2 linked regions of the Drosophila melanogaster genome follow. The protein of the gene in region 1 interacts with the protein of each later gene in a pairwise test. Each region holds a gene or a part of one and is shown on either strand. Other genes may lie near its edges.

Region 1 (5,737 bases):
GCAAAGGGTCCTAAGTGGTGCAAGCATTACCACATATAGTATATATAATATATATAGTATAATAGAAAAACAATCAGTTTTATTATTAATTTATCCAATACATAAAAACCATATTCAGTTACCTGAATTCATTCAAAATACTCAAAAGCCTAAAAAGCCCGAATAACTTATGAATTAATAGCACACACACTCATTAAATAGTAGAGATACAAAGTCCAAAACTATTTCAAGGGCTGGCCATTAGAGTAGGCAAAAGTATCACTTAGCGTCATTAAATCACCGGATACGAGTGAATGAAGGCATTAAAAGACTCATTCAGAGATGCCAGATGAATACTGAATATAATCCGATCGATGGATACCTGCCGATCGCGTATTTGTGCCCCTTTATCGCGATTCGCGATTCGATTCATGGCCGATGTTTATTATAATGTAACCAAAATGAAAAGCAGCCGCCATTTGCCAGTCACGAAAAAATTATGCATAATTTATGACTGGCTGTAGTGGACCCCTCTCGCCACCTCTCGCTCACTCACCTTGATATGTAGCTTCGTCCCGCTCGCACTTGCAAGAATTTATTATTTTTGCTAGATTTGTGTTTTTTTTTTATTTTATGTTTCGCATATTATAAATGCGCAAGGCAATAACAAAAATAATCATAAACACATACACGGAATCACCCACACAGAGGCAAAAAACCGAGGCTGACCAGTCTGAAACGATAGTGCCCCGCCCTCCGCCCCTTCGGCCACTCGGCACCCCCCCAAATGCCCATCACCACTACTCATGAAGAGAGCGAGAAAAACTAGTGGAAAACTGCAGGTGCAGCTGAAAGAAAGAGAAACGTCTCTTAGGCGAAAAGCGCCAGCCAACTCTCTCGCGAAAGAGAGAGAGCCAATTCGCCGCACATCTTGATTTCGCCTAAGCATTTGTTTACAATGCACGACTGGCAGCGACGTCGACTGCGAAGAGAGTTTTTCGTGATGGTTTTTCGAAGGGGGGGCTGTGTGGGGTACACCTCGAACGGAACTAATTAATGAAGCATCTTTCAGCCGAGTTTTGTTTCTCAGTCGGATGAGGTGGAATGCGTGAGGGAGAAAGAGTAATGGCTTGGGAAGAATAGAAAGAGAGAGGAATGTGCTTCGAAAGACCTAATGATCACTAATCTGCACTTCTCGCAAAATGCTCATACTACAAATGTTACAAGCAATTCATACATATGAATATCGATTTCCAATATTCTAAAAATAATTAAAATATTTTATTTAATAATTTTCAATTTTTTCAATTTTTTCACTTAAATTTAAGCTTTTAAAAGAACCCTAATAAGATATATAATATCCATCACCTAAATAATCGGCAAACTCAGCACTATTTTCGCCGCATTCCCAATTCCTGAAGACCACCTAGATGTGTTCCTCTATTTTGTGCCAGGGGTACTGGTCGATGGGGCTCGTCCACACCCTCTCCTGCCAAGCACCTCCGAAAAATATTAGGCCTAAGCTCGAATCCGCACTCGCACTCGCACTCACAATCGCAATCGCAATCGCAATCGCCGTCGCTCTCCGCTGCATTTTCGGGGCAACTTCCGTTTCCTCACGCACGCACACTTGCCACTTGCCACTTGCAGCGACGCATCCTTTTTACGCAACGGTAGTTGTGCGGCGGCAAAGCGCCAAAATTTTGGGGGTTGCAACGGCGAGAGGCCGAGAACGAGGACGAGGACGAGTTCGAGTGCGTCGAGCAGGCCGACGAAGGACGAAGGACGAAGGACGAGCGAAGCCGATTCCGATGTTGAGCTCGAGGAGAGCCAAAACGCAGCGCAGGAGCAAAGGAATGCGGTGCCGTTAGCCGGCGTTTTTTGGCGCCTACAGCTCGCCGTTTTCAGCCATTTTCAACGGGCTCGCCGCTGCTTCGGTCGTTGTCTCTGCCGTCGGTTCTCAGCCAAGCGGCGCTGCCTACGTCGCATTTTCCTTTCGCAGCGCCGGCAGAGCAGTTCGCGAACTATTCGCAACTTCGTCGCGAACTCAGTCGCAGCCTGAGAGCAACAACTACAAAGCAGTAGCAGTAGCAGTTGCTGCTGATGTTGCTGTTGCTGCCGCTTCTGCTGTTGCCGTTGCCGTTGCTGCAACATCAACGTTGCCCCTCAGCTTTCCACAGGCACAGGCACAGGCACTGCCACAGCCACAGCCACAGCCGCACATCCACATCCACATCCACGTCGTCGTGGGCCATCGTCGTCGTCGTGTGTTAAGTTTGTTTTGAGTTTTTCCGTATCAAAATGTGCAAAACGATTTCAGTCTAATTCAGACGCTCGTGCTGAGAAGACTTTTGGCCCTGTTTGTTGGCCAATACAGCCATAGAACACTGAAACCGAAACAGAAACAGAAACGGAACTGAAAGCACACACTGAATAACACTGGACACGACGACGAGAACCGAATCGAACTGAAAGAACGAGGCGGCGGGCTAATTGCCAAATGGCCACGTAGTGCGCGTAACGTAACGAATACGTTAAACACCCATACACACACGCCCAGACACACACACACACACACACACACACAGAGAGACAGAGGCACGCACACAGATACGCACATGTACATGCCCACTCTCAGTTGAGCGTCGTAATTGTCGCGGATTCTTTTGAATGCTTATTCCTTAAACGCTATGTGAAGAGCGAATCGCGTAACGAATAACGATCGCGTAACGTTTACGATCGCCGGTGATCCAACGATCAACGATCAACGATCAGCTGCAGACAAAATGGCGTCGGCGCAGGCGGAGACGAATGTCGGCTTGGCGTCCGAACAGGGACCAGTGGCTCAGAGGCAGCGCAAAGGGACGGGATCGGGCGCCGATTCGCCCAAGAGTAACAGAAGCTCGCCCACTCAGCAGGAGGAGAAGCGTATCAAAAGCGAGGATCGCACTTCACCAACTGGCGGGGCCAAGGACGAGGACAAGGAGAGTCAAGGTCATGCTGTAGCCGGAGGGGGAGGATCTTCGCCCGTCAGTTCGCCACAGGGCAGGAGTTCTTCGGTAGCCTCGCCCAGTTCCAGCTCCCAGCAATTCTGCCTGCGCTGGAACAACTATCAGACGAACCTGACCACCATCTTTGACCAGCTGCTCCAGAACGAGTGCTTCGTGGACGTGACCTTGGCATGCGATGGTCGGTCCATGAAGGCCCACAAGATGGTCCTGTCCGCCTGCTCGCCCTACTTCCAAACACTTCTGGCCGAAACGCCCTGCCAGCATCCCATTGTGATCATGCGGGACGTAAATTGGTCGGATCTCAAGGCCATTGTGGAGTTCATGTATCGCGGCGAGATCAACGTGAGCCAGGACCAGATAGGTCCTCTGCTCAGGATAGCTGAGATGTTGAAAGTGCGTGGTCTGGCGGATGTGACCCATATGGAGGCGGCCACGGCAGCAGCGGCTGCCGCTTCGTCGGAGAGAATGCCCTCCTCGCCCAAGGAGAGCACTTCAACTTCCAGAACTGAACACGACAGGGAACGGGAGGCCGAGGAGCTGCTGGCCTTCATGCAGCCCGAGAAGAAGCTACGCACTTCGGACTGGGATCCCGCTGAGCTGAGGCTCTCCCCACTGGAGCGGCAGCAGGGCAGGAATGTAAGAAAGCGCCGGTGGCCATCGGCGGACACAATATTCAATCCACCCGCACCACCCAGTCCACTGAGCAGCCTGATTGCGGCCGAAAGGATGGAGCTGGAGCAAAAGGAAAGAGAGAGACAGAGGGACTGTTCGCTGATGACACCCCCACCCAAACCACCAATGAGCAGTGGCTCCACAGTGGGAGCCACGAGGCGCCTGGAGACCGCCATCCACGCCCTGGACATGCCATCGCCGGCTGCCACGCCAGGACCTCTGTCCCGATCGTCGAGACCTCACTCGCAGAGCCCCCAGCAGCAGCAGGCACAGCAGCAGGGTCAGCTTCCTTTGCCCCTGCCCCTGCATCCGCACCATCACGCATCACCCGCCCCACATCCCTCCCAGACCGCCGGATCAGCCCACCACCCGGCATCGCCTGCTGGAGATTCCCGTTTTCCCCTCGGCCCAGCAGCCGCCATGGCCGCTGCCAGGGAACTGAGTGGCCTGGGACCAGGTCCGTCCGCCGAGCCACGCCTTCCGCCTCCACCGCCGCACCACCATGGCGGTGGTGGAGTGGGCGGCGGGGGAGTTGGAGGAGGAGGTGCAGGCGGAGTGGGTTCAGGCGGGGGATCCTCGCTCGCCGATGACTTGGAGATCAAGCCAGGGATCGCCGAGATGATCCGAGAGGAAGAAAGGGTGAGTGAATCTAAGCAACTTAAATTTCACGTTTATCTTTGTATTTCATCTTCCTTAAAGATAACTTTCGTACTTTTGTTTTCAATTATTCATATGTTGTGAATCGTTTTCTAAGTTAGTACATATGCCAGTTAAGAGAAGACTCTTCAATTCTGCAATTCCAATTCTACAAAAAGAGAGGCAGAGAGAGAGAGAGAGAGAAGCGCGCGGTGGAGCTCTCTTCTGCTGCTGCAGCGCTGTCACTGCGCTGTCGCAGCGCTGCTTCCGTCTATATCTCTCTCCCATTCATTATCCGATCTTTTGCCTCGGTTTGTTTTGATTCACGATTCGCGCGCCTTTCGGCGATCTTCAATCTTCGGCTGCGAATTCTGCCGGCGGCATTTCGCCTCGTGTCGTGACGTCACAGCGCGGAATGCGGAGCTACGGTCGCAGCGCTCTGTGGAACTCCCCACCCCACCGCCAGAGTGGCCATTGCCCGGAATGATTGACAGCATTCACGTGCTCCACGTTCCACGTTCCATTGTTTGCTCTCCTCGGCCGCTCTTTCTTCCCGCAGAGATTTGCTCCACATAGTATTTAGTACCCCTTCTCAGGTCAGATCCACCGATTCTTGGGTTCTCGGGGAGCAGGCACCGGAACGCTTCGGTGACCAAGAGGTGATTGAAATTCCTGTGGCCTGCGGTTGATTTCGATCTATGGAGCATTTTGTGACTTGTTGTGGTTCCCTAAGTGTGCTTCAATTAGGGCAACGACGGAATGGGTCTGCACAGAAAATATCTGGGGCTAAAATCGATAGATTCATTATTTGGATTTTTTATGTATTTTTCTCTTTCTGAGATTGAATCATTATGATTGCATAAAAATATATTTTAAATTTTGAAATGCTGATATTGAAAATTAAAAAAAAAATATTAAATATTGATCTTAAGATGCGCTTGCAATATACATATGAAGATATCTATAGTCCTAATGCGGCTTTGCTTCATAATTATATTTCAATAAGTTCACTCCAAACATTGTATCTGAATATTTACGACTATTAAAGTAAGCTGGTAGTTTTTGTCAGCTTAGCTTAGCGACCGGTTCGATTTGGACTGCGACTGCATTAGCACCGAGCTCACCGCAGAATTCGCACTTTAATAAAAATTTGTATTTATTTATCCAATAGACGTCGACGACGTTCACTCAAGAGCCCAGATCTCTGGCGATGGAGCTCCATTCACCATTCAGAGTCACATGCATTCGATGAGGAGTTGCCCGGTCCGGGATCAATCGGAATGCGATATTTGTTTGTCTGGGCGCAGAAGAGATCCCAGTGCGACTCCTTTTCTGGCCGGTTCTTGGCCATGTTCCATGTTCCGTGTTCCGTGTTTATTGTCGCTTTCGAGTGCATTAATCAAATAGCCAGCTATGCACACATGTGCATGTGCATTAGC
Region 2 (7,836 bases), about 12 Mb from region 1:
CACCATGTCATTTAAACTATCTTTGCATTGTCTGCTGATCCTGGCAGGATATCTCACTTCAATTGAAGCCGAAGTTTTCCCGCAGTGCGCAAATGCTCCATTGGATACCTTTGTCATGGCCATCGAAGATTGCGCTTCATACATCTATTGCAATGGAGAAGACTCCTTCCGAGACAGCTGCCCCGAGTCCACCTACTTTGACGATCGAACCCAAGAGTGTGCCTTTGATGATGAGGGTGTGTGTCTAAGGAACTCAGACTCAGTCCAGACTGAGGAGCAGCCCGATAAGCAAACTACTGGTGAGGAGCAGAGCGGGATCGAAGAAACCACTCCCGTTCCAACACCGCCTTCTGATTACGCCTCTACAGGATCTGCGGACTCTTCTACTTTCCAAGCTGATTCTACAACAACCCCTACAGAATCAATTCCTTCAGTGACTGAGCCACCGACTACATCTGCTACGCCATCCTCCCCATCTGCAAAGCCTTCCTCTCCAGCTCAGGAAAGGCCGCACTGCGACATTTCCGGAGATGGTGACCATCCTCATCCCCAGCGGTGCGAGTACTACTACAGGTGCCTCAGCGGCTATCTGACCATTGTGAGATGTCCTTACAAGTATGGCTGGGACTTTCCTACAAAGCAATGCAAGCCTAGCAGCGAGGCTCAGTGCTTTAGTTATAGCTACTAGATTTATCTTTAGAAGCTCAACTTTGATCTAAATAAATTAGATTAGATTAGGCGATCTGTAGGTTGATTTCAAATCATTTTATTAACTTTTATACATTTATTTATATGTTCTTAAGATGAGGCTTTAACTTTGATCATAATCAAAAATAAATGAATAATTTCCTGTATGCACTTTATTTTTCTTTCTTAGAGTGTACATAGCAATCACGTGTGCATTTGCATTGTCAGTCAACTAGATAGTTGTTAGTGGTACTTTGACATTTAACGTACGTTTTATGTAAGGAATTATCCTTGAGTGAAGGGCTTATATACACATTGAGCTATTTACAGCCTCCAAGCTACGCGGCTGCTAACCCAAATCGAGGTGCGCACAGATGACAATAATAAATAAGTATTTGTGGCATTTTAATGAATTGAAAAGTGCATAATGAAGGTGCTGGGTGCCCGATGACCAACGGCGTCTCCATCTGGCGGTTCCATTTGTATTTGTCAGGCATAATTCACAAATCCAACGCGCAGGTATATGAATTTATTTTCGGCGGGCAATTTTCAAACGGCGGCAACTGCTGTCGCCGCTTCCACATTTTATTGCAAATTAATAATGCACACGATCCCGCAACAGTAGCAGCCGCCGCTGCACCAACAAATTCCTCCGCCTGTCGGCCAGTCGTGTCAATTGTGTCTAGTGGCGGAGTGGTCGCAGTTCCTGATTATGATGATGATGATGATGATGCCCTCATGATGATTTGCCACTGGCAAATGTTTTGATTAACTAACTGCGGGGCAGCCAATTAATTTTTGGCCAAGAGGCTTCACACTGATCGCGAGTACAAAACCGCTGAGATTTCTCTTCGCTGCGCCGATGCGGCCTGCTCATTAATTAAAGAACATGGAATCGGGCGACAAACGGATCCGCCCGACATGCTGAGAGCCAAATTCGAATCCGCTAAACAAATGGCAACAGCAGCAGCAACAACATTTGGGCCAACAGCAACACCAACAAGCAACAGCAGCAGCTACAACACCAACAACAGCAACACAAGATAGAGGAAAATTGTCAAGAGATGGACATTCGAAAAATAGAAAATCTCCAACTAAACCGAAAGAATTGAAACATTTTCGGATTTTTTCATTTCAGATGCGAGCAGCAAACGGTTAACAAAGGTGCACGCTTGTCCCGTCGCGAAAATCGCGAAAGGGAAAATTCGTAACGGACGCGGGGAAAATGGCATTAGCAAAATATGTGTGAAAAGCTAGAAAAAGAGAAAAATAAATAAAACAAAAATGTGAAGGATTCGTTTAACGAGAACCCAGTGATAAACATAGAACCGAGTGATTAAATTATTCAAGTAAATTGTGTAATGTCGCTGCGAGCACAAAAGGAGATCTTCAATGTGAAAGATAGATAAAAAACAAACTGCGTGTCATAAAAACACTACATAAAATAACATGAGTTGAGGGAAAATATTCAATTTGATGATCGCCACGAGCATCCCATTAGCATAAAAGAAGTCAATTCGAGATCCTCAACCATAAGGGTTAGCCATAGAGCTCTATTATTAGACTTCCCCAGGGGCAGATATGCTGGGCCACTGGATTATGCGTGATTCACATATACCGCTGATCGTGCGAATTCTATATTGAAATTCAAATACCTCTCGGAAAAAAACAGCGTTGACATCAAATTTATGTGCGCCACATTTCATGGAACAAATGAAAGTTAAACAACAATAACAAAGGCAACGCAGCGAAGGCTTAAGCATGATTTCATTTTCTATCCACTTCCCTCGACATTCTCAACGAGGCGTATGAGTGATTATGTGTAAAATATTACGCATCAACGAAATAGCTTCGAAATGAACCAAAGCTAAAGGCAAAGCCAAATCCAAATCGAAATGAAAACGATTGCGAGGTGCTTTGGAATGAATTGCCATGGATGACAAAAGGCAGGCACTTGGACAACAAATCAAAATAGACAGCATGGCGAGAGCGTTTAGCACAGATCTTTATTTTTTGGATGGCTATTTAAAACAACAGCCAGAGGACGGTACAGGAGAAGGAGGTGCCGAGCTGAAAGGCTGAAAAACTAATTTCGGAAAATCAAGTAAAAACTGAGCGAAATACCAAAGAGTTACGGAAAAGAAGGCTGCCTGACTGTCACGACAACACTTTCTTGTGTGAACGAGCGCCAAAAAGGCCGCGCCGCTCCTCCTCCGACCCTCCATCTCGAGTCGCCATCCACCCCAATCCCCATCCCTCCAATCCCATAGCCAGGCATCCATTGTACCCCATCAGGCATGGCATGGCAAGGCAACCTCCACCATCCATCGTCTCTCAATAGAGAAATGCTTAGATGCGATTCTCAGTCCCATGTGCACACATAATGGAATGAAGAAAATTCCGTCGTCCAACAATTGCACGCTGGGCTAGCTAAAGTGCAAAGAAAACCAAAAGACTCGGACTTGTCACTTCGCTGCGGATTTGCATTGGCCGGGCTGCCTGTTTTTGGGGGGCCTCCAATGGTCGTCGGTGCAGCAGCAGCAGCAGCAGCATAGACCGAGAAATCCCCAAAATCCCCCACATACCGACATACCCACCCCAGCTTCCTTGGACTAGCTTCTTATAAATAGCCCTCGGACAAAAGTGTGAACCGCCCGCCCGCCCAGTGCATCACATGCGATCCGAACAATGGAAATTGCCAAATTTATAGTGTACCCAGAAACCCACAGTGGCACTGCGATCAGATCGCCCAGGCCAGGCCAGCCAAGGAAAACTTATTTTATTTAAATAAATTTGGTTTAATTGCCAGCAAAGAACACAAATAACACTGGCCGTGTCTGTGCGTCTGTGTGTGTGCTGTTTTATTGTAATTCCGATTCGTCAACTGGGCACTCACCGAAACGGCCGAGTAAATCAGCCCGTTGACTTGGTCATCAAAACATAGAGGAGTACTCGACAATCCGGATACCTTGGAGGAGCTGGCAGCAATCTAAAGATGGATCAGGCTGTCATTAAATCAAATTATGCCGTTTCCCGGTCCCCAATGACAAACAACCTCCGCGACCCGCAAGATTGCGCATAACGGGGCGTATGAGTAATAAGCCAACTGCTACGACATAATACGTATACGCCTCGTGGTGCAGACGCTCTTCTAGGCGGCCAAGAAGAGCGGACACGAAAAGTGTGTGTGACAAAACGTTCAATAAATAAACAAACCGAAATGCAAACAAACAAATTATGAGAAACGAAAACAAAGAAGCCAAGTGGGCTGGGGCAAGGCGAATAGAATTTGTTTACCTCTCCGACATCCGACATCTTGCACATTCACTAATTGCATTTACCCCCTTACTTCCATTGCAGCTGGTCCATGTGATCCAAACCCAAATGAATTATGGAACATGTAAATAGCACTAATGCCAGACAACCGCAGCATCATCATTTTGATCAGCAGCTGCAGCACAATGACAGCCAACAGCAATTCTGCCTGCGATGGCATAACCATCAGGTGAGATCCTCCAGATAAAATTCATTTGAATTTTCATTTGTGGGGGGACTATATTCAACATTACCTCATAAGTAAGATCCATTAGAATGGACTGGACATCGTTCAGTGAAGCGAGCAGGCCGAAAGTAAAATGTCGCCGCATCTATATATAGGATCCATCTATCCAAACACATTCCCCTATACGTACAGATTCACACATAGTTTTCCGCATTTTCATATAGTGACAATTTTTGTGTTTCGGCCCAAAGGGTGTAATGCGGTGAAAGCGGGGCAGCGGTGAAACTGGCTGTCCAAAATAGCAAAACAGCCAAATGGACAAAGAGTAGTGAGGAGGAGTGTTCAGTGTGTGTGTCACATAAATGAACAGATTCGTGCAATTGCCAAAATCCAAAGAATTTCCACAGCGAGTAAATCGAAAAGTTGGAAAGCAGCTGCAGCCAACCCCTGTCCCCTGTTACACCGCAGACAGAGGAGCATCATGGGGCCCAGGAAATTGTATTTTTATGATCGTGTGACCCACTTATGAGCACTTTTCACATCCCCAACCCCATTCCCTCTGATCCCTTCCAGACAAGTTTGCTGAGCACTCTGCCCATTCTGCTGGACCAATCCCATCTGACGGATGTGACCATTTCGGCCGAGGGACGCCAACTGAGGGCCCATCGCGTGGTACTGAGTGCCTGCAGCAGCTTTTTTATGGACATCTTCCGGGCTCTAGAGGCCAGTAACCATCCAGTCATCATCATACCAGGGGCCAGCTTCGGCGCCATCGTCTCACTGCTCACCTTCATGTACTCCGGAGAGGTGAATGTATACGAGGAGCAGATACCGATGCTGCTCAACCTGGCCGAGACACTGGGCATCAAGGGACTGGCCGATGTCCAGAACAACAATGTGAGTAGCTCAAGTGCAAGATCTAGTTAGATAATTTAAATAAACTTGTAGTTTTTCCCTGAAACTCATACGCCTTTCTCTTTGGTCTCATAAATCCAAGCAGTTACCAAAAACAGCGAGAAGTGGAGGTGGCTCCTACATGGATACGACGAATGAGAAGTCCTCTGAGTTTGAACGTCCCACCACACCCTCGCCCACGCCCACCCCCACCCTTACGCCCTCCCACACGCCTACCCCAAGCCATTCACTCCCCCTGCCCCAGCTACCAAGTGCAGCACTTAACACCCCTCTCCTGGCCAACAAACTGGGATCGGTGAACTCCAGTGGAATGGGCACCACGCCCCTGGAGAATCTCTTTAAATCACTGCAGTTCTACCCCAGTCTGCTGCCCCAACCACTCAACTTCTCGCAGACGGCGCTCAACAAGACCACTGAGCTGTTGGCCAAGTATCAGCAGCAATGTCAGCTCTACCAGAGCGGGATGCAGGAGGATCAACTGGAGACGGACTGTTTTGGCTCCAAGAGGCTAAAGGGCGACAGTCCGCCGAAGGAGCTTAGGCGACTGGAAAAAAGCCTTTTAAAGAATCCAAAATCCTCATCGACGACCAACAGTAGCAGTAGCAAGTCGCCTCAGGAATGCTCCAACCCGAATCCCATTGTGGCCACTTCACCAGTAACTCTCGCTCCCCCGACCATGGCACACTTCTCCCCTCAGTTGCCGGTGGTCAAGTGCTCCTCGGCTAGTTACCCCAGCGCTCTCGGCCAAGGTCAACTCTATAGTAGCAAGCCACCACTTTATAGTGCAGCAGTCACGCCGACTGCCGCCCAGCAGGCGGCGCAGATGCACCACCACCCGCAACCCGGGCCATCGCCCTACATCTCGGCCGAGGATCATGCCAAGCTGCAGCTCCACATCGAACAGTATCAGCGGGAGGCGGCAGCAGCAGCGGCAGCGGCCGCCGGCGGAATGGCGCTGGTCAGCGCCAAGTCGGAGCCCAATCTGCTCTCGCTGAGCGCCGACCGCGACAAGTCGCTGGCCACCGCTCCCATCAAGCCGCCGTCCAACTCGAAGCTCTATGCCACCTGTTTCATCTGCCACAAGCAGCTGAGCAACCAATACAACCTGCGCGTCCACCTCGAAACCCATCAGAATGTTCGGTAAGTGGTCTGAATTTTAATTGTTATAAAACAATAGAAGTCACCTTTGGAATTACTTTTCGATTCCATCAGGTATGCCTGCAATGTCTGCTCCCATGTGTCCCGCAGCAAGGATGCCCTGCGCAAGCACGTTAGCTACCGACATCCTGGGGCGCCATCGCCATGTGAAAACGAGGCTCGCCGGAAGAGGGTCTCCAAGCTAGCAGCGACCACTGTGCCCACTTCCACGCCCATGTCCATGAGCGCCAGTCACACGGTCACCAGTGGCGATGTGGGTCCAGCTCCAGCGACCACACTTGGATGTTCGGGTCAGGAGGCAAGGAATCCGTACCTTTTCCTGCCCAATCAATTTCAGATGGCTGCTGCTGCAGCAGCCGTAGCAGTGGCCGAATCCTCGCCAGCTTCTGGTCAACCATCGCTAGACTTGGCACACGAAGCGCCACCGAGCATCAAAAGTGAGCGGGAGCCACCGACGGCGAGCAACGGAGAGGCGACCGGTGTAGAGGCATCGGCGTCAACCACCTGAGGATAATTTTTTTGAATATTTTTGATTTGTTCAACTCACCACACAAACACGCACACAGACACAAGGAGTACGCCCACCCATGCACACGCATATTGTTGGGTGACCGATGAGTGGTGGAAGGAAAGGGCTGATCCCTGACTCCAATTGTAAATCCGCTCAAGGGTGGTGGAATCTATTTCAATTTCAATGTTTCCGAACTTCGAATCCAATTTCAAAAATATTTAATCAGCAAGCGTAATCAAGCTTAATAATATCATTTTGAAAACACTTGCAAAACCATTTAAATTTGCATATTCAAAATGTTTTTTTGTATTGAAAGTATATTTAAAATATCTCAAGTTCAAACTTTGATTTTTGTAAGAAAGATTACGCTCTTCGTTATTTTTTGACATCTAGCCCCATTATTTTACCACTAAGTATGATCGGATTTTTTAACAATGTCAGAGGAGCCAATTTTCATCACCCACTCATGAGGTGCCCAACATATGAATATGTCAACTTTTAGTCCCACCGAAACCAACGTCTTAGACCCGGCTGTGATAATTAGCGCAATTCGTTTTTCGTCTTCTGCACTCGAGCGCCTTTCTAGCTATCTTAATTTATGTACTTACGTTTAGCACAATTTACGTTTATTTTTTCTGAAACTTTAGCAACCTCCGAGGCTCTCAAACTGCAAGTTACAAACACAATCCTTTCGCTTTCACGCTCTCTCACAAGCACACGTCCACACATTCTAGTAATCTAAGCCAAGTTTTTATAAATATTGTAATTATACACCTGAACACGCACACACACTTGCACACAAAAAGACAGGGTGAAGACCTACCAAACCAAAAAAAAAAAAAAACACAATTTTCAAAGGAATAAATGTTTAAGAAGCCAAAGAAATTGTGCGTGTTTAGCTAATTTTCCCGATCGCAACCAAATGGAGAAAAGTAATCGGCGAGCTATGCAAAAACTAGTATATTTCATTTCATAATACAATAATTTATGTACGCTGGCGTACTTTACATATCTTTGTGTTTCCTTTCGTAGTTCGTAGTTCCAGTAGTATAAAAATTGTTCG

Evidence for each region. Proteins that work in one complex are often made in the same cells at the same time.
Region 2: the proteins of bab1 (region 1) and CG32121 interact in a two-hybrid assay, tested with the Drosophila melanogaster proteins (one study listed by BioGRID).

Annotation. Positions count from the first base shown.
Region 1 is NT_037436.4:1,097,665-1,103,401, reverse strand, and holds the start of bab1 (bric a brac 1), read left to right. Parts: upstream 1-2,312; 5' UTR 2,313-2,765; coding exon 2,766-4,301; intron 4,302-5,737. UniProt on the Drosophila melanogaster protein: Probably acts as a transcriptional regulator. Required for the specification of the tarsal segment. Also involved in antenna development.
Region 2 is NT_037436.4:13,416,337-13,424,172, reverse strand, and holds CG32121 (uncharacterized protein), read left to right. Parts: upstream 1-1,836; 5' UTR 1,837-1,851; intron 1,852-4,047; 5' UTR 4,048-4,078; coding exon 4,079-4,192; intron 4,193-4,762; coding exon 4,763-5,086; intron 5,087-5,189; coding exon 5,190-6,244; intron 6,245-6,316; coding exon 6,317-6,770; 3' UTR 6,771-7,597; downstream 7,598-7,836. Other genes in the region: CG33263 (uncharacterized protein), read left to right, coding at 5-688.